Linked DNA regions of Caenorhabditis elegans. The main gene of each other region encodes a partner of the protein of the gene in region 4 in a complex. Each region holds a gene or a part of one and is shown on either strand. Other genes may lie near its edges. The genes, in order: lin-9, dpl-1, lin-35 and lin-52.

Region 1 (6,407 bases), 920 kb from region 4:
CATCACAAAGAGATTTTTGAATCCTTCGACCAGTGTTGGAAATTTAGTGAATTCCTGGCTGAAGGCATCCGAGATTTTGTGGGCGGTATCGGTGGACACGATTAGAACACTCTCACGGACTTTTGAGAGTTGCGTTGCTAATGAGCAACTGCCTGTCGTCTTTCCGACACCTTTTCAGGCTACAAAAATCCGTTTTAGCGTTTTTTGTTCGAGAATATTCTCGATAGAGGCTTCCAACTGATCTACCATGCTGAAAAAAGTATTTATTGTATTTGAAAAAATAATCAAATTGATTTTGGAGCAATACCAGAGAAATGGAGAAATACGGAGAGAAGCAAATAGATTTTTTGTTAATTTTTGCAGCTAAATATAAGAATGATATCAATGTACTTGAAACATTCAAAAATTTCATAAAAGATTAACAGAAATTTTTTAAATTTTAACTATTTTTTCAAATTTTTTAAACAGTTTTAAATGTATTTTTGTCGGTTTTCAGTGAAATTTTTGTTAAAAAATAAGAAAATTAAGAAAAAAAGCTAAAAATGACTTTTAAAAAAATTGAAATTCGTTTTTTGGCGCAAAAAGTTAAAGGGACATGAGATTTCGTAGGGAGCGGGTCTCGCCACGATTCCTCCTATTTTTATTTTTACTTTCAAACGAAACAACGAAGCTCCGAAATAACGCATTCGTGATAAATTTAATAAAGAAATTAGCAGCAAAACAGCAAAAAATGCGAATGGAATTCAAATACGAAGCAAGGCGCGCAACACACTATAAAAATTGATCAAAATTACGCAGCAAAGACAGTTTAAAACTACAGTAATCTTTGAAGGCGCACATCCGTTTGTATTTAACAGACATTTGTCGTGACCAGTTACCGTACTTTTAGCGCTCACTTTTGTGTCCGGGCTAATATCTTCTCACCGCTGGCAAACATAATAAAATGAAAATTCACCTGAAACTTTAAAATTTTATTTATTTTCTAGACAGTCAGTAAAATAAAAAATAGTGGAGTATAACTGACAAGGGTTTCGTTATTTGGCTCGTTTTTCTCGAAAACTGATGATGATGATGATGACAATGAGGAAGAAAATAGAATTTTGGCACATTCGAATTATCAAGGTTGAACTACTTTTAAAAAATAAGAAAAATGGGGATGTGTCTCATGATCGGGTACAATTTTGAAAAGACACAAAGTGATTGAAGAAGGTGGGGAGAGAGAGAGAGCAGAGATGAGAGAACTGAGAATATTCAGAAAAACAAAAACTGACGGGACCGGTTGGCGTTTTTTTGGACAAAATGAGACGCTTTTAGTTATTTTCTGTTCGATACAGTTCCAGCTAGTGCTCCACTTTCGAGCATAATTGTGTGAAATTGTTTCATATGAACTTCAACGTAGTCTTGGAAGAATGCCACGTTGCGGGGGTGAATAGCGGTCCGAATTTCAGATATGGCGTCACCAAGTGATTGAAGATCAACTGCAGAGATCTTTTGAGTTCCCATTGTGCGAACCTGGAAAAATATAATATTTTTTCTAATATTTTTCTGCAGTAAAAAAATTTTTTAATAGTGTTTTACCGATGACCAGGTAATTTTGAATTCTAGGAAACAATTTTAGTTTTTTTTTTGTAAAATAGTAATTTGTAATTAATTCTAATGGGACGATGCAAGTGAACACGTGTATTCAGCTCGACCAACGCCTCGAAAATTTTCAAAAAAGGCGGGAAAAAATATTTGAATTCGCCAAGAGGAATTTCACCGCAGCGCGTGACGGTGTTTGCACAAATTACACCGAATGGTCGAGCTGAAAACACGTGGTGAATTTCTCGTAATTTCTCGACACATTTTTTGCAATGCAAGTGCGCGGAGAAATGACGAGAAATGTCGTGAAATTTGCAATTTCTCCGCATTTCTCGACATATGATGAACGGTGAGATACGCAGAAACATGTGTCCCCGCAGGAAACTCCGCCTACTCACCGCACTTTTAACAGGGTGAAATGTCTTACCACCCTGCGAGGACACATCTCATATGTCGAGAAACGCGTAGAAATTGCGAATTTCACGACATTTCTCGTCATTTCTCCGCACACTTGCATTGCAAAAAATGTGTCGAGAAATGACGAGAAATTCACTTGCATCGTCCCATAATGAAATTAGGAAAGAGGATTTGGTAAAAACCGAAGTTTATTTTCTAATGAATTTTTACATTTTCAATTTTTTTTTTCATTAATAAATTATTATTCTGCAGTCTATAGTGCCACAAACCTGTAAAAGGACAGCTGTCAATGATTGAATAAGTGTCAACGCATGCACATTCTCTACATTTAATCCTTGATTACAGTGCTCTACAAATCTTCCAGCTTGTTGAGAGCACATTTGTCTAACTGCTTCAGGTTTCATATTTGACGTTGAAATCTGCAAACAAATAGATCTTTCGAAGAATCAGGAAATGAAAAATTACATCATTCGAAGAGAAATACATATGGTGATCTTGAATTCCATTCATATTGATATCTATATTCTGATTCACATGTTCCAGATCGATGATAGTTTTGGCGTATTTCTCCTGAAAAAAAATTGTTTTTTAGATTCTATCTAGTTGACTTTTTCATATATCAAAAAAAATTTCTAATTAAAAATGTACCTGAAAAGCTTTCGAATATTTGTCTGACGTCATATTTTGTATCTCGGCATCCGCATTCAATTCGTTCAATTGTCGTATCAATCCCTTTTTGATATCAATTAATTTCGTCAGTTTCACAAGATTCACAAGGAATTTCAGCGGGAAATTTCCAACCATTTCTGCATTTTTTCCATTTAATCGTTCGTCGTTCGGTCCCATTAATGGTCCACCACTTCTCTCGATTTTTCGAGAAACCAGGACGTCACGAACAAGATGTGGATGTGATGAGTCACGAACTGCTGCTACAAATGGACGAACGCCTGATGGAAGCTTAGAGTTGGCTTGTTCAATGAAGTAGGCGATACTCAACAAATCAAGTTTTCCGTCGAGAAGTATTTCCGTGTCACTAACCAGTGTTGGTGGGATATCTGGCTGAAAGAATAAAACATTGGAATTTATAGAATTTCAAATATTCAAATTTCCCTAAAACAAAATAATTTATGATCCAAAACTACCGAATATAGTAATAGGACGTCTTAATTTCCAAAGACTTCCTATTTTCAGCTAAATCATTAAATTTTGTCAATTTCTCCTAACACTTTTTATTGCATATTTTGGTAGTAATTCGATGATTTGAGCACATTTTAAGTCGATAAGAATCCTACTTTGATATTTTTGGTGTCTATCGACTTAAAGTGATCCTAAATCATAGAATTAAAGCGAAATAAACCACTAAAATATGCAATAACTGTTGAAAATGCAATAAGAATTGCATTCCAGCATGTACAAAATGGACAAGTTGGCGAAGTTCACGAATTTAGCTGAAAATAGGTTTGTGGCGAAATTTTAAGACATCTCGTTACAAAATTCGGGCGTTTTGGGTGATATTGAGTCTCCTTTTACAAACCTTGTCAAAAATAATTCTGAATCCTTTCGGAATGACAGCATCAATAATTCCAGAATAAATTCCATCGTAGGGATTTCGAATTCTCGCAAATACACGATTTCCAACCACCATTGGACGTGGAAGCTTGGCTGGAAGATCTTTTAGATCAATCGATGGATCCTGAAAGAACATTTATTGAAAATGATACACCTCTTCAGCCTTACGTTAAGATAACTTCCTTCATAGACACTTCGAATCTTCATTCTTTTCTCTTCCAGGTACATTCTTTCTTCTTCAAAAAACACTTTCGAGCATCTACGTGGCTTTCCGAGAAGTTTTCGAATCGACCGCCACTCAATACGCGTTAAATTCCAATTTTTCAGATTTGGGAAAGATTCGCGGATAATTGTGGCAAACTCGTTTTCTTCTTTGAAAATTTGTTCGTCGATTGCAGAATAGAAGAACTCGCACATGACCCATTGACGAGCTTTCTTATATCGGAGCAAATTGTAGAGTTTCTTTATATTAGCTCTCATAAATGTGCTCACATCTTCACTTGTTTGATTTTTATACGTTTTGAATTGTTTCATCATGGCACTTCGTTCTTGATCTGTACTGAACATGTTGAAGAATGACTGTGTATCTCGATGTTCTACAGCTTCATTTGTCATATTCGCAGGATTATCTAAATCATCAAGACCTGCTACAAGGTTTTGATGCATCTCAATCATCTCCAGATCCTTTGCGAGAAGATCATTACTTGGTGCTGGAGGCGGAGACAGAGCAAGAGCTCTGCGTGGAGGGCGTCGTTCTTCTTTTGGCTGGAACTTGGAGACATGACAACAATACAATTGTTTTAAAACTTACAATATATTCCAAAGCACAACTGGAAGATTCATAATCAAGAGCTGCCTTTGCGAGCATTGTTAGACTTGAGTTTCGGGTCAATGAGTTCACTGAAGGAGAATCTCTACCTCCATTCAGGCGTTTCGCGGGAGATCTGTAAAATCATAAGATTAGTCGGCCACTTTTTCGGAACAGCTTGTTACTTTTTGGGAGATCCGGTACGTTTGATACTGCGAGACGGTGATAGGTATAGTTCTTCATTACGATATCTCGATGGAACTTTAGATGTTTCACGGAGACTGTATGGTGAGCTGGTGCGATCCTGAAAATACCGAATGTCATGCATACTTTCAATATCTTTCTTTAATTTACAACTTCTTTATTTTTAAAAACACGAAAACCCAATAAAATCAATATTTCCAATAACTTACAGGATCAGACGTGTCACTTGCTGCCTTTTTCCGCGGACTTCTCACCGCAGACGACATTTTTATCTGAAAAATAACAAATTTTTGAATAATTTCAGACCACGAGACAAAAATCAATGAAAGAATGCGGACGCGCGCGCGCGAAAAAAACTTTGAAATGGCGGTTCTTTTCCCCAACCAACAGCCGATTTCAAACAGCGTGATGGTCTCGACGCGATTGCCCTGCGGCAGTGTAGCGAGGTACGGTGGAGCGCTGTCTGTTGGAAAACAGAACACAGCTGAGAGAAGTGAATGTGGTGGGAAACGGAAAAAAGGGAGAGCTGCTGTTTGACAGTCGAACGTCGTGACATTCCGTTTTTGGATTTTCTCGTGAAAGTTTTTTTTTTTTTTTTATTTGTTTTATTTCTTATTTGTATTGATTTTCCATCTTTCCTGGGTTATCATTAAATTTTAAACATGGTTTTACACAAGATCATGCGGTGAAACATGTTTTTTTCTTCCTTTCCGCATTTAAAACGAATTATTTTGTTTATATTGTTCTTCTCTTTCCATTCTCATGATTCATTTCTCTCCTTATTGGCAAGAAACATTATAAAATTGTTCATTCCTACTAAGTGTTTACCAAAATTTATTTTGGCCGCAAAGTTTTAAAATTGTAGAATAAACTTTTCATTAAAAATATTTCGTCTTCAATCACTCATCTTTGTTCCGAAAACATCTCACAGGTTTTTTCTTCAAAGCAATATTCTTCTTTAGTGTTTTTAGTCAGCGTTTTTCGTTCTGGATCTGGATTCTATGGTTTGATGTTACTTTGAAACACTATTTATAAAATCTTTTTGCAAAGAAACAATTCTCTTAAATTTAATACAATTTCCGCATCAAAATTGAAGTTTTTGTGCAAAGTTGACCTCTCGCAGCGTAATCTTATCGTTTTTTCGCGTTATCACCACTCAATCTCCCCCACTGCTCTACAATTATTTCATTTCTCTCAACCTTTTGATCGAATCGATTGAATTTCATAATATCCACGAAATGTGAGTCGCCCAATGTTTACGTTTCTCCATCCTATAACACTGCTTACAAATGGTTTCAGTGTTCAAACATTGCGGTGAATGAGGCAGACAATCAGACATTTTCTTTCTTTTAAAACCTGTCCTGTTCATTTCTTCCTCATCTCCTTTAGGTTTTCTTATTCGCCATCTGAAAGTTTATTTCTCTGCGTCTAGCTATTAGATCCTGGAGAATTACGCTCTAATGTCGATGACGTGTCGGCTGATCGATTAGATTGCGCAAATTGTTTCTTTAGTTTTTTCTAGATTTCTCTCCCTTTTTTCATGATATTCCAATGGAGCACGTTTGAGCGCATGCTCTCTTCTTGCTCAGTGCTGCTCCGTATCGATCCCTCTCCGTCAATATCTGGTCTTCGGTCCTGAGGCCTTCGCTCCTAGCCTCGTGCTTTTCTTAAATGTTTTCTCTCGAAAGAAGCGTTTTTGATTTTTTTTTCCTTCTTATTTTTGAAATCTTCATATTATTTCATGGAAATTCTTACAGAATCAACTAGAATGGGTGATTACGTGACTCCCGGCGAGGAGCCACCACAACCGGGCATCTATCGAAGTGAG
Region 2 (5,426 bases), on a different chromosome or scaffold from region 4:
TGCGAATGGCTCTTCAAAGTCTAGAGCAACACGCCGAGAACCTTGGCGACGACTCTCACAACACCTCCAACATCTAGATCAATTTATTAAAAACGCTTTCAATTTTTTCTGTGATATTACAATATTCATCATAATTTTAGTGCCAATTGTTAAAAAAGAACTAAAGCCCTGTAAAAATCTATATCTAAATTATTTAAATTGTATTATTTATTTGTAATAATAAAGTTTCGCTTTTCTCTTTGAACTTATTCTTATGTTTTCATCCCGTACAACACAGCCGATAATCCAGTCGCTTCCACGTACTTTTGAAATGGTCATTCTCTAAATTTTCTCCTTCTCCCGATAGAAATCGGATGTAAGGAGATGAGTTTGGGCGATAAACTGAGAGAGAACATTGACAATTCTATGCTAAACAGGAAAAGCGATCAGAAAAAAGATCTCGAGTGAGTATGTCTTCGCAGTTTCAATTTCAGATGAGTTTCGAGCGATTTCTCGTTTTTGGCTCGGTTATCTCCTGGATTCTGCTCACGTATTGCTCAAGATTTTGGGTGAGTTGATTTACATAAGCCCAGTTTTTTCTATAAGATATCATATTCCAGATTGAATCAGTGGAAGGATATTTAGTTGGTAACCGCCGTCGAGTCATTGCCGTGTTCCGCATTGAAGTGAGTTGCTTCTTCTAATTAAAAAATCTAATTAATTTAATCCAATTAAAGTGCATTTTAACTCTGTTAAATGTGTTTGCATACGGCCAGCTGATGAGATGGTTCGACGATGACATTGTCAAGGAGAAATCGTTGGATCGCCGAAAAATGCAGGTAAAACTAAAAATTATAATCTATCATTCTTTCATAAAAAATGATGGTAAAATCGGGAGCATTGAGTTACATATAATGCTGTCAAAGTCGGGGCATATAAGAAGCATATTTCAAAATGTCAAATTGAACACAAAATAATAATGTAAAAGGTAGATTATGAAATCTGTCGTCAATTCTAATCTGGCAAATGTCGGAATAGAATCGACGAAGAAGACTATACTATTTTAAAGATTAAAGAAGAGGGGATTTTAAAGGAGTCTAGAAATAAAATTGAAACTCGTATAGAAACTATTTTAAAAGCAGATGAGAATCGTTTGAGAACCTTTAAAAACTGGGAAAAGGGGGATAACAACTAGTTACATTAAACATTTACTGGAAATAATCGTATTCCTCCGGTTGAGGGTGTTGAATGAGAGCAGCGGCCTGCGCAGAAGTCATCGGCTGTTCCGTTTTGCGTTCAAATGTGCACATATCTGAAATTAAATTATTTAAATTATTTAAGGCAAATTTAAATTACCTTGCTCCATCATTTTCTTTTGTATAACTTGTTGAGCTGGAGATTGCTTTGGATTGTTGACAACAATTTTACGAATCACTTTCCGAACAATTGTGCCCGGCGGGTGTGGACCACCTGGAGCAACAATTCGCTGAGTTACGATTCGTTGTCCAGGTTGTAACTGATGTCCAGAAATGCTTCCAGCAGGATAGACAACTCTCTGTTGCACTTGATGTGGCTGACCCATATGACTCATTTGTGGTTGCTGTGGACGAACTCTCTGAAAAATAAGAAAAATCAGTTTGTGAAATCTTTAAAACGAACTTACATATCTCTGACCAACTGGCTGATGCATCGGTTGATGTCCTTGTGGCACGTAGTATTTTACAGGTCCTGAATTCACAGAAGTAGCTCCAGTTGAGAGCCTGCGATCTGGAGGTACAGTAGAGTACGGCCGATTGACAGTTCGAACGACGGGAGTCATATCATGCTGAAAATGTTTTAGTTGTACTGAAAAATCTTCATTTTGAACAAACCTTCATTGGTCCTTGTGTCTTCTGTACGTAATATCGTTTGGTAACGGGTGGTACTTGAAGAGGCGTGTTAACTTGAGCTCGAATCTTTTGTGGACTATAAGTATTATACATTGGCCCTCGGCTGGCTGATCCCTGATTAACATTCTTATCCATATCATAATCGCGTTCCATTATACCGGCAGCAGCTAGAAAAAACAATTTTTTTAATGTTTTTAAAAAACTTTTTTACCACTTCTGTCCTCACTTCCATCGTTTATCAAATGCTCCTGAAGCTGTCTGTTGAATCGCGATGAATATGACATTTGCGCCAAAGAGCTTGTCGGCTCAACGTATTGGGCTTGTGAGAGGTTCATAGACATTTGATCAGCAATCAACTGTTGTTGTTTTCTCTTTTCCTCTTTTTCTGCTTCAACCTTTTTACGGTCTGAAAATTGTGGTTTCCATGATTGATTTTTAAAAAGAAATACTTACTGGCAATGATTTCGTCGACATAGTGCTGGTGTAAGGTTGGCAAAAAGCTTTTCGCAGTTTTGACTTCTTCCGCTGTGGGATTTGTAGTCTCCAAACTGCATGCAAGGTTCAACTCTGAAAAATGTGGATCTTATCGGTTTTTGGCATTTAAATTTACTTTTTAAAATTTCGAAATCATCGTGAATTTCAAACTTCTTGTCGAACGAGAACAGAAATTCGGATTTGTCTGATGATACACTGCATTCCACATTTGCTCTTAAAAATAGATATTTGAGACTATTATAATTTTGGAATTTCAACTTACTCTTTATCAGTATTAATTATTAAAAACGGAAGATGAAGTACAGTGTCGTTTTCTGGGCGACCATTTTTGCTGAAAATTTAACTTTTCTAAAATATTTAACACTCAAACGTACTGCTCATTTTTTCTATTCCGTTCGACCAAATTTTTGTAAGAAACAATTTGCAATACCATTTCTTCGAGAGCCTGCTTTTTGGAACTTATGCTGGCTTCCCGTCGCGATTTCTCTTCTTCCAATCTCGAAATTTCTTGTGAAGCTGAAGCAGGAAGTCCAATCCATCTGATATCTTTCTTGCTTTTTGTGATGATATTCATTGCCAAAAGAACGTTCAACGCATCGTATACTCTCCTCCGAATATTTTTCATATCGTATTCTTGTTTCTAGAAAAAAAAAGTTTTTTTTCAAAAGAAGAAAAACAAACTTCTTACCACAACATCAATCTGCTTGATAAGATTATTTTGAAAGTAATCTGCTACCAGTTCATCAGCCACTTCATTGTAATTCGTCAATCCTTTTTCTTTCACCTTTTCACAAACTTTCGTGGAAAAATGTCTGAGTCCGGTTGGTTTGTCAGATTGTTGACCTCCTGCTCCACTAGATCCTCCAACTCCCGAAGGTTCATCCCAGCCCACAGGTTCATTGTGACTCTCATCTTGGTATGAACGAGGAAGACCTGTAGGCATTTGAACAATTCGTCTTCCCATACTCAGGGATACTTGTGGTCGACTTTGTGCCGGTTGGCCGATACGGGGATCGTAGTTTGTCTGCAAATGTTAGTTTAATATAATATCGATTTCTTATTTTACAAACCGGGTTCATTTCTACAGGACCTGCCTGGACGAATCAAGATTTTCGATTGCTTAGATCTGTAAATGATGACTTTGATTACGAGAAAAGCTACGAAAAGTGTTAATTATAAGAATAATGAATGATATTTTGTTGCCATCGTAAAAAACTGATTCTTTTCTGTTCTAAATCTAAATTTTATCGGTTTTTAAGAACGCTGCAATACAAACGTTAACCAGAACAATTTTTGATCAATACGTGAGAGAAATCAATAATATTCGGAAGATGGAGGAAAACAGAAAAAACCCAAATTTGAAGACGCGCCGTGCGTTGCGAGACCCATCAATGACGATAAACAACGCGAGAGGTGTCAAGGCGGAGTGTTGTTGCTGAACAAAATTTTCTTTTTTTTTCGTTCGACACTGAAATTTCAACAAATTGCAATATTCTTGTTGGAAAAAGTTAGCAAAACAAGAATTTGCTTTTAAATAAAAATTTATTTTGTTTTCCTGCTACGATTTCAAAGACCATAACTATTTTTCTCTTCAAATCGATTAAATCTTCTTCTCACCAAAAACTGACCTATTCTCATTTCAGACAATCCGGAAACGATGCTCGGATGGCCTTATTATTTTCCTAGTTCTCGGACAAGCGATTTATTTTATGTATTATGCCCCAGCATTTCTCCAGGTTTGTTTTTAGAAATTGTGTTGCTGTTAAAAGAGTCTCTTGCATTTCAGTGGCTTCTCTTCGATCTCACCTCAATCTGCGCGGGAATATGGACTAACATGATTGCATTCGTATGTGGATTTGGGATTGTTAATTTCTATGCTGGAAAAATGAAGGTAATATTAATTTCAATAATATTTAAATTATTTTAAAAAAATTTTCTCAGATGTTCCATTACACCGCTTCGATTTTGGAAATAATAGGAAAGGTTCCTTATTTTAACGATCTCATGTGGAAAAGAAGATCTCAAATAAAGTAACAAAAAACATCTCATTTCGGAACTTATCATTAAAAATGTTATTTTCAGATTCACAATGATAATCACCTTGCTTCTGTCAGTCAGTATGTTTATATCACGCGATTGGATTGTTGTCAAAGAAAAGACCATCAAAATAAAAAACTTCACTGCTGATGGAAATCGATTAAAATTGGCAGTGATCTCTGATTTGCACGCTGGTGCAAGTGTTTATTCGGAACAAATCAATCAAGTTGTCGAAAAAGTGCTTGAAAATCCAGTTGATGCTATTCTGATTGTTGGAGATATGGTAGATGCTCCTGTTGCGGAAATCGAGGATAGAGTTCGACCAATTCTGTAGGCGAATTAGTTTGATTCACAAAATTTCAATTTTTGTTTTCAGTCAACTCCCTGCTCACGCACCTACTTATTTCGTAACTGGCAATCATGAATATTATTATGGAGACGTTCAGGAATGGATAAGATTCTACAAAAATGGCCGTATTAATGTTCTTGAAAACGAGTAAGTTTTACAAAGTTTTTGAGTTTTTCTTGGAAGTAACAGTGATATTTTTCAGAAGTACAATGCTGAAAGGAGTCTGTTTGGCTGGAGTAAACGATATTTCAAGTCCGAAATCTGGAATCTTGAACACTAAAATGGATCTACCAAAAGCCATCCATCGATGTCCATCAAATACTTCTCAAATCGTCATGGCACACAATCCGGCATCAATTCGAGAATTCATCGTAGATCATCCGAAAGAATTATCAGAAATTGATATTGTCTTATCTGGACACACTCATGCAGGACAATTCTACGTAGTTATTCCAGTAGTTTATTGGCTTCTACCATACTTTTATGGACTCTATGAGATTCCATTTGGAGGTCAATTGATGGTAATGGCAGGATCATTGTATCAAGGACCACCCATGAAAATGATTGGAATGAGCGAAGTTTGGGTGTTGGAATTACTGGGAGAATAATGTGTTGTAAAATGTAAAATTCTCATTAAAACGGTTCGATGACTATTTTCTGTATGATTTCGTTGTAAT
Region 3 (5,029 bases), on a different chromosome or scaffold from region 4:
AGAAGCACCATTTTAAATTTTCAACAAAAAATCCTATAATTTTGTGTACTCTTAATACTAATTGATATTTCATAAACCTTCTGAAACTAGGCAAATTCTCTCGTGAACAAAACCACTGATTTGTCTTGAAATTTGATACTTTTCCCATAGGTGCATATCGAAAAGAAAAAACCCAAAAGAGTGGATACCAGCTATATTTGAATTTATTGATGTGCATAGTAATAATATTACATTGAATTCATTGTCCCGCACACATATAAGCCCATAAATTGTGATATTTTTCGACGGAGAACACGAATTTCCGTTTTTTTCCCACTTTTATGGGTTTTCTATATTTTCTTTTTCCTCTTTCATAGTTTCTTCATAGTGAGACCTACACAACTGGAAACACTCAATGATTTACAATATTAAAGGAAATTTATCCAGATGGCAATGAATTGACCCAAGGATGTCAGTTTTTAAATTAATGAAAAAAATTTCAATTTTTTCAATTTTAAAGTAATTTCCAATAATTTTTAAAGAACGAATTGAATCCATTATATTTTTCCAATTAAAACAAATTCGATAAGTCACCAATTTTTTTTCGGTATTTCTATAGAAATACAATTGTATAAATATCATAAAAACCAAAAAAAAATTTCGAAATTTTTAACTTTAAATCGCGAGAAAAATAAAATCCAATTTTTTTTTGTTTTTGGTACGAAATTTGAACAAGAAATTTTTTGTTTTTTTTTGTCAAAAATATTTTTTGGCATCCTTGATTCTCAACTTATCCATATTTAATTGTGACAAATCAAGTAACGACGAAACTAAGCTGCCAAAATTGTTCTAGTTTCTTCCAACGTTCTTATCATTCTTTATTTCTCCACATACTCTCAGCTGATTCTAGTGCTCTTCTCTATTTTCAACGTCCCTCTCTCTATCTCCCAATGCCCTCATTTCTACAGTTTCATGCAATATTTACTCAACCGACACATGAAGAATTGAAAGGGGGAGAAAAAGAGAATCATATTGTCGTGACATCGACCATATCAGTCGTATGTCACCTCCCCGACTCTGCTTCTCCTTTTCTTTTCTCTCGTAGAGGTCTCTTGTTGGCACACTCAGACACACACAAATGCATTTATAAACCATATAAGCCAAGAAAATTGTATTGATTCCAGAAGAACCATGACAACCGAGTCTTCTCAAACGACGGATCCGTATCAGCACCCGCAACAACGGGCTGAACCACATCAGCCAACACAGCGGATAGCTGCTGAACCGGAGCCAAGGGTATTTTGTGGACTTCCAATTGGTGTAAGTTCAGAAATTTTGAATCTCAGCAAGGATTGAACATTTTTCAGGGAGCTGTTGGAATTCTCGGATCCATTCTCATGATATGTCAAATATTCGGACTTTTGTATCCATCTCCATTTGTGCTCTACGTTTTCGAGATTTCTATTGGAAGCGCCATGATGTTTGTTCTATCAACTGGTGCAAAGCGTAGAAAAATTGCCTATATCACTGCTTACATGTTATATCTAGTACGTTTTAAATATAACTCACAAGATTCGATGTTCCTAGTCAATTATGGAAGCATCAATATTCTCGTTAATATACACTTTGAGAAATAATTATCAATTTCAGTCAATGTACACATTTTGGGTGTTTTTCTTGATCCTGGGAGCAGTTATTGCATGTATTTATTTATCGGATAACAATGATAACATTTGCAATCCAGGTTAGTTTCAATACAATTTTCCGGAATAAAGAAACTGATTTGAAGATAACCAAAAGGATGTAACCACTGCGAAGGGATGTGTTCCAAAAATGACAACTGGAGAATTAGAAATGGTTATAATCTCATGTTTCTTCCTAACTGTTAGTATTATTGTTGCACTCGTCCAAATGCGATATATGATGATTCTCTACAACTTCCTCAGAAGAAATGCATACAGATTGTGAGTCCATTATTTCAATTATGAATATTCATTCAATGGTTCAGACCTCAACATCAGGCGTCAAATTACAATGTTCAATACATTGTACCAACACCAATGAGTCCCAGTGGTATGCCACCACCACCAAGATATACCGCCTACGCCCCACCAATGTCAAGTCAAACTGCTCCTCCGATTCCTACAAAACAACAACCTGTTGATAGCGAGAGTTCGACGACGTCGGCATCAACGAGGAGTGGTTCTTTCGTATCGACACCGATTTTGACAGTTGCCAATGTGAGTTTTGAAAATTTTTTGAAGCTTTATGAAATCCGTTTCAACGACTATTCATTAATCAATAATATAAAACTAAGCTATTCTTTCTATATTATAAGCTGCATTAGATAAATACGTCTTAATGCGATTATAATTAACTTCAAATAACCCGCTAAATTTTGTTACGGAGCGCTTGTAGTCGAAAAAGTAATACTAATATCAGAAAAATGGTTATTATTGGGAAACCTCCGATTTCCAGCAAATTCGAGCCAGAATGAGCTCTAAAATTCTTTCCCTATGACATCACTAAAACTCTGTAACAATTTCAGAGTGAACCAACAGGAGCTGACAATTCGGCGTTTACAAATGATGAAGATCCAACCCGACCACGTGCAACTTCTCGGCCGCCTGCATATAGTGACGTGGTTGAACCAGGACATATAACAGTCCGAAGTGACGTTCTTCAATAGATTTCACTCTGTCTTCTATGTATATTTTGACATTTGCTCGTGGTTGTGTGCAATAATAAAAATGTTGCTTGATTGGTAGCTATTGTTGTTAGTGACCTCTTAACTAGTCAGGTGACTGAGCGCTTGATAACTTCATAATTTCCTATATAAGTAGGAGATGATAGCGAGTTGTGATAAAGGTGATAATGAACTGGGGAATATCTATCTTCATAGAGAAAATTATTGGAAAAACGAAGGATGCTCTTAATATGTAAAACAAAGCAGTCATTTAGATTATCACATGAGGCTGCAAACCCTTGTTTTTGTTTAATATTTTTGAAAAGGAGAAAATAATCAGATTTAATATTTATAAAACCCCATACCTTGCTTTATATCTAAGTCGATTCGTTTTGCTGGTGGCTCTTCACATATTGTATCCGTTGTCTCCGTGCCGGCTAACACGGCATCGAATGGGCTTTCTGAAAATAAATCAATTAATATCTAAATTTATTTGCGGTAATTTGAGGCTGAGTTCTAAAAAATTTCTCTCCCTGATGGAAAGGCAAGTAAAATCTTGAACGCTGTTTAAAAAATTTCGAAAAAATCGAACCCTGCGCAAATTGCATTAATCAGTTTTTCTATTCACTGCGGCGGAGAAACTAGCTTTGATAACGCCTCACTTTCCAGACAAGTATAATTATACGCTTTGAATAAAATCATTTAAAGCTTACGCTCGTGAAATGGGTCAGTTGTTGATGTTCCAGGCTCATCGGCTGCTCGTTTCGGCATATTGAAGAAGTTTTTACCAGTCTGAAGAATATTTTTGTGTTTTTTATTCGATTAAACCCAAGAAAGTTCAGATAAAATGTAATCGAAATCGTTTAAAATTAGAGAAAGCAAAATAATTTTCAAGAACGCGCTCATTTTTTTCTAGTCGCGCGCGCAATGATGTTCCACAATTCGCAATAGAGCGCATTTGTGCACGTCCTGGAGACACCATCGATTTTGAGAAACTGAATAGGAAGAAGAGGATACTTCAGAACTTTCTAAAACTGAAGCATTAAATGTGATTAAAAATTGTGAATGTGAGAGAAATCGAGTTTGCAATTCAGAAAATGTATGTTCCAGTTGAACACATCTTACCTTCTACTTATTTTTTCGGCAACCAGCATTTCCCCCAAATTTCGTTCCCTTTGTATTGATGGTGTCTCAAATCTGTTTTTTTTCATTCTCGAGTTTTCCTGAATTTTCTTTAATTTTTCAGTATTGAATGTAAAATGTCTAGTGTTTTGGACGTCACAAAGCCGGATTTTGATGTCGAAGCATTTGTCGTCAAGTTAGTTTTCAGAGATATGCACTGATAAATATTATTAATTCAGATTACTCCGTGAAAAGTCGCTTGATGGATTAGTAAAAGAAGAGGAGGAGATGGTTTCAGCTGTGAGAAGGCTTGATTCAGATGTACATCAAATAGTCTACGAAAATTACAATAAATTTCTGACTGCGACAAATACGGTTCGAAAAATACAAGATGAATTCACGCAACTCGATTCTGTTAGTTTTCGAATAATAATAAAATCAGACAATTTTAATGTTAATTTTCAGGAAATGAAATCTCTCAGCCGAAGTATGTCGACAATATCGACTCTAATTGGGAATCTTGACGGAGTTTTGGGCGAAAAACGTGACGATATTCTACAATTGGGAAGCTCGTATAAAGTTGTGAATAGTTTGAAGCATATTTTCGATCTTCCTCATGTTCTGCGGGTAACATTTTTAATTTTAAAACTTTTTTTTCATATTGCATCAAACTAAACAACTTCCAGAGTGAATTCGATGAGCGAAACTATGGAGAAGTTCTTCGAATGTTCAAATTAGCAGAAGAGTCACTATCGCAGTATAAAGACGTTCCAACAGTTCAATTAGTTCTTCAAAAAAGTAAGAAAATTTATGATATGACGGAAAATCAATTAATGGATCAACTGCGAAATCCGGCTTCTGGTGCAGAATTAGTATCAGAAGCTGTAGATTTATTATTAACAATTGGAAGAGATGAAGATGAAGTTCAGAAAGTGTTGCTCACGTGTTCAGAACAATCTTTAAGAGTAGATTTGAAAGAATTATCAGCAAATCATTCGGATGTTTTGGATCTCGTTGATAAAGCTTCTGAGAGTTTTATTCCAAATCTCACTCTGATTGCAACAACTCATGATCGATTATTTGAGGATAAACGAGAAGATCTTATTACGGTTTTGAAGGTTTGTTAATTTAAAAACGATTTGGATTAAATTAAAGTTTTTTTACAGACGGAAATGAATTCTCTGCATGCTTTGGTTTCAAAAGTTTTTCTATCATCAAGTGATGCAAAAGACTGTTCAATTG
Region 4 (3,602 bases):
ATTAACAAAACAGATGAATAAAAATTGAAACTTTGTAGATTTCATAAAAATGGGTCTCATTATGGCAAAACTGTTCCAAAGTTGGTGGATTGGTAAAAGTAAGAAATATTTTATTAATTTCAAGTTTGAAAAAAAAAGGAATTTTCAGAGTACAAGATTATTGTAGTCGGTCTCGATAATGCAGGGAAAACGACGATTTTATATAATTAGTGAGTTAATTTCAGAAAAAAAACACATTAAATAACTTTTAAAAATTTAGAAATAATTTCTAATCCAAAAAAAAAATTATAATTCAGTGTGACAAAAGATCAAGTTGAAACGAAGCCAACAATTGGAAGCAACGTCGAAGAAGTTTCGTATCGAAATTTAGATTTTGTGATCTGGGATATTGGCGGGCAGGAGAGTCTACGAAAGTCTTGGAGTACTTATTATGTTCAAACAGATGTTGTTATAGTTGGTATGAATAACTTTTAGTAAATGATATTAAAATTAAAATTATTTTCAGTTATTGACAGTTCCGACACCACTAGGATTCCAATTATGAAAGAACAACTGCACAATATGCTTCAACATGAAGATCTTGCTCGTGCTCATATTCTGGTTTTGGCCAACAAACAGGATCTGCCCGGAGCAATGAATCCAGCAGAAGTATCCACACAACTCGGTCTCCAGACATTACGAGGTGCTCGGAAATGGCAGATAAATGGATGTTGTGCTGTGAAAGGAGAAGGATTGCCGGAAGCTCTCGAATGGATTGCCAACAATTTGTAGAAACGTTTATATTTATAAATTTCAAAAATTGCCTTAAACTTTGCCAGCCTCGTTTTTTAAACTCTCACTGTGAGATTATGTGATTTGCCAACTTTCTAATTGTGCTCTGTTAGTAATCAAGTTTATTCATGTGAATGTTAATGAATGATGAGATCATTATTTTTTGATAGACCACTATTCAATTCACTGGCTTCCTGTCGTTTCTTCCGCTACATTTTTCGGTGGTGTTGGCTGCAAATATCTCGGAGAAGCCGAGCCAGTGGGTTTCAGCACGTTGAGCAACTTTCCACGTCGGCACTGGCGAGCTTCTTCGATTCCAAGAGTGTACACCGAGTTTTGAATGTTTCGGATGAGCTTGGCGATATCGTCGGCTGGGCAGTGGCTCATTGCTGAAAGTTAAAAATTGAAATGAATATGGAACAATATGAATACGAACTATTAACAGTCACAGCATCTTCCTTGAGAAACGAAATATTCTTGTATGGCGATTCGTAACCTTTTGATACTGATTCGCTTTGAAATGCTTCTTCAAAATCGAGACATTTCATTGGAACTGGCTCACTTTCTTCTGGCATTGTTTCGGTGCATTCGAGCATCTTTTTCTGTTGTTCTGAAAATATTTAAAATTCGAAGAATCTTTCTTTTCTACAATATAATACCAACCAAGCATTTTCGCCTGTTCTGCGTTTGATTTCTTTTCGATCATTTGTTGGACGAACATTTCGTCATCTCCAAATTCGTATCCAATAAATCCTAGCGGACGCGACATTTTTTTCCTGAAATTACCGCTATATGTCAGAATTTAAATGTTTAGAATTGAGTAAGTATAGAGCTTGTGACGAATTAAACGTTAGGCCGCAATGAAGTAATTGTATTGATTTCTTCTTCTAAAAAATAATTCTCACAAAACAAATATTTATTTGATGTGAACAAAAACGGGATGTGAAGAAAATTACTCGGGAATTTACAATAAAATACAAAAAAAAATCGATTGCTAGACAGCCTAGCCGGTGGGTACTTTACAAATTTTAAATTTACACAATACGGTTAAAAATAATGAAGAAACGAGAAACAAGGTAAAAAACATGAATCAGTGGGCAGTCGGTGGTGGAATAGAGAAATAGTGTCGGGCAGTCACATGAAGAATGATTCTGAAAAATCAAAAATAGGAACATGGTCCGCAAACACGGTAGCATATTAACGCACCACTTCTCTTTTCTCTTTGCCTCTCCGTTGCTGGCGGTTTGAACAACCTTGCGAGTGTCCCCTCCTGGCTGAGATGCGTGCTTGTGCTCCACTCTGTCAGACTTGGTGCGCTTTCCGCTTCCAGTGGTGAGATCCTAAAATTGAAATTATTCAGTTTAAATACAATATATGCATTGCACTGACCGGTCCTCCGGTTTGCTCGAATGCGGCAGCCATTTCTTCAGCAGTCGACGACATCTCGTTGGTAATTTTCTGCAACAAAAAATTATTATAAAGCTTAGAGACGTGTAAGCAACACAAAAATGAGAGAATGAACCGACACAAGAATGACCAAAACAAGTGTTATCAAAGTGAAATGGACGATGATTGGCAGTTGCATGATTAGAAAGAAGTAGGCAGAAAAGGGAGGAGAGTGCCAAGAAAACAAAACTGTGAAAGAACCGATTGAATAGCATTTGAAACGATTGGAGTGTGTTTATTTGAAGGACGATAGTGACAAATCTAAATTTTGGCGCGCGTAGTGTTGACGAAGATCAAATCTATTTACAAGTGTAAATGTTTAAAATCGATAATTTGAAATTTTCGATTAGGAATAAGGCTGAAAAGTATTTAAACAAAGCTTCAATTGAGAAATACCAGAAAAATTCGTTAAAAATTTTCAACGAGTTTAAAGGAGGGCGCATTTGTGTGGAATTTGTGTGGCGTAGAGATTTCTTTATTGATTTTTCTCGTTTTTTTTTTTTAATATTCTGACTTATATTGCGTTTATCAGCCATAATAAATGTTAAAAAGGTCGAAAATGAGAAAAATCAATGGAGAATGAAAAACAACTCTAAATGAGAGTGCGTTTTTGTAGAAAAGCTCTACAAAAGTGAGAAATAAAGTAACGTTTTCAGGCTTTTTTTCAAGAATAGAAATCTGCCTGAATATTTTTAGCGAATCAACAGCAGACGGACAGTTTCATTCAAATACTCGTATTTATACATTTGCGTTGGCGCCAGAGACACGTGATGGATAGACGAGCGGAGACCATCGAAAAAAGTAAAAATGAAAAGAGACGCAGAGCAGCACATTTTGAGGGCTGACTTGTTTCTGCTAGATATATTGGTGCGGTGTCATCGAAGGCACAGAACAAAAAGAAAAAAGAAGCAAGAAAGAAAAAAAAGAAACGAACAAACAAGACAAAAAAAATAAATCGATCGGAACAAAGCACCGATAGATCATAAAATGGTGATAAATAAAACAATGTATATCGAAAAGAGGAATGATTTATTTTTTCAATGGAGGGAATGAACACAATCTCATTAAGGCCTTAGAATGAGAAAATTCGGCAAGTGATACAGTTTTTGATCATGGACCTGTGACAATAAGTCAAAATTGCAAGGGGTGAATTAAAGGTTTACAAAGGATAAAGAAATACATTTATGTCGTGGAGCGCAAAGTAGGAACGTGTCTTGTCGTGAGCATTTAAGCCGAATAAGGAGAATAAGCTGGTGGAGCGGTTCCGTGGTCATTCTGAAATAATTTTAATTTAAACATTTATTAAGCTTTGTAGAAAGACAACAAAGGAAACAGTAGGATGAATCATGGACAAGAAACCGACCCCCTTGTAATAAATTTCAAAA

What was found.
Region 1: lin-52 (region 4) and lin-9 share a complex: the UniProt entries of both Caenorhabditis elegans proteins name them as parts of the DRM complex.
Region 2: lin-52 (region 4) and dpl-1 share a complex: the UniProt entries of both Caenorhabditis elegans proteins name them as parts of the DRM complex.
Region 3: lin-52 (region 4) and lin-35 share a complex: the UniProt entries of both Caenorhabditis elegans proteins name them as parts of the DRM complex.

Annotation. Positions count from the first base shown.
Region 1 is NC_003281.10:8,899,281-8,905,687, forward strand, and holds lin-9 (Protein lin-9), read right to left. Parts: upstream 4,852-6,407; 5' UTR 4,846-4,851; coding exon 4,789-4,845; intron 4,680-4,788; coding exon 4,561-4,679; intron 4,512-4,560; coding exon 4,379-4,511; intron 4,339-4,378; coding exon 3,736-4,338; intron 3,692-3,735; coding exon 3,533-3,691; intron 3,058-3,532; coding exon 2,647-3,057; intron 2,569-2,646; coding exon 2,464-2,568; intron 2,418-2,463; coding exon 2,268-2,417; intron 1,513-2,267; coding exon 1,315-1,512; 3' UTR 958-1,314; downstream 1-957. Other genes in the region: unc-32 (V-type proton ATPase 116 kDa subunit a 1), read left to right, coding at 6,348-6,407. UniProt on the Caenorhabditis elegans protein: Synthetic multivulva class B (synMuvB) protein. SynMuvB proteins are required to repress the induction of vulval development by Ras signaling and probably act by forming the multiprotein DRM complex that represses transcription.
Region 2 is NC_003280.10:9,167,973-9,173,398, reverse strand, and holds dpl-1 (Transcription factor dpl-1), read right to left. Parts: upstream 3,490-5,426; 5' UTR 3,443-3,489; coding exon 3,434-3,442; intron 3,388-3,433; coding exon 3,052-3,387; intron 3,004-3,051; coding exon 2,738-3,003; intron 2,695-2,737; coding exon 2,626-2,694; intron 2,577-2,625; coding exon 2,479-2,576; intron 2,436-2,478; coding exon 2,322-2,435; intron 2,275-2,321; coding exon 2,080-2,274; intron 2,036-2,079; coding exon 1,851-2,035; intron 1,805-1,850; coding exon 1,643-1,804; intron 1,595-1,642; coding exon 1,336-1,594; intron 1,292-1,335; coding exon 1,188-1,291; 3' UTR 834-1,187; downstream 1-833. Other genes in the region: sec-5 (Exocyst complex component 2), read left to right, coding at 1-77; T23G7.2 (Calcineurin-like phosphoesterase domain-containing protein), read left to right, coding at 474-548, 600-665, 717-818, 4,007-4,099, 4,150-4,254, 4,305-4,393, 4,446-4,730, 4,777-4,896 and 1 more. UniProt on the Caenorhabditis elegans protein: Synthetic multivulva class B (synMuvB) protein. SynMuvB proteins are required to repress the induction of vulval development by Ras signaling and probably act by forming the multiprotein DRM complex that represses transcription.
Region 3 is NC_003279.8:5,806,137-5,811,165, reverse strand, and holds the start of lin-35 (Retinoblastoma-like protein homolog lin-35), read right to left. Parts: upstream 3,458-5,029; 5' UTR 3,437-3,457; coding exon 3,379-3,436; intron 3,127-3,378; coding exon 3,031-3,126; intron 2,746-3,030; exon of another isoform or gene 2,669-2,745; coding exon of another isoform or gene 2,528-2,668; intron 2,220-2,527; coding exon of another isoform or gene 1,988-2,219; intron 1,944-1,987; coding exon of another isoform or gene 1,769-1,943; intron 1,724-1,768; coding exon of another isoform or gene 1,630-1,723; intron 1,527-1,629; coding exon of another isoform or gene 1,347-1,526; intron 1,300-1,346; coding exon of another isoform or gene 1,171-1,299; exon of another isoform or gene 1,164-1,170; intron 1-1,163. Other genes in the region: C32F10.4 (uncharacterized protein), read left to right, coding at 1,171-1,299, 1,347-1,526, 1,630-1,723, 1,769-1,943, 1,988-2,219, 2,528-2,668; vps-51 (Vacuolar protein sorting-associated protein 51 homolog), read left to right, coding at 3,925-3,983, 4,027-4,201, 4,253-4,414, 4,474-4,905, 4,954-5,029. UniProt on the Caenorhabditis elegans protein: Key regulator of cell division which acts as a transcriptional repressor and negatively regulates cell cycle progression in its active unphosphorylated form, but allows cell cycle progression when phosphorylated.
Region 4 is NC_003281.10:9,823,204-9,826,805, forward strand, and holds lin-52 (Protein lin-52), read right to left. Parts: upstream 1,548-3,602; 5' UTR 1,541-1,547; coding exon 1,435-1,540; intron 1,382-1,434; coding exon 1,208-1,381; intron 1,161-1,207; coding exon 955-1,160; 3' UTR 880-954; downstream 1-879. Other genes in the region: arl-5 (ADP-ribosylation factor-like protein 5), read left to right, coding at 50-98, 149-209, 297-457, 506-771; ZK632.9 (uncharacterized protein), read right to left, coding at 1,922-1,922, 1,978-2,111, 2,161-2,214; UPF0057 membrane protein ZK632.10, read right to left, coding at 3,445-3,492. UniProt on the Caenorhabditis elegans protein: Synthetic multivulva class B (synMuvB) protein. SynMuvB proteins are required to repress the induction of vulval development by Ras signaling and probably act by forming the multiprotein DRM complex that represses transcription.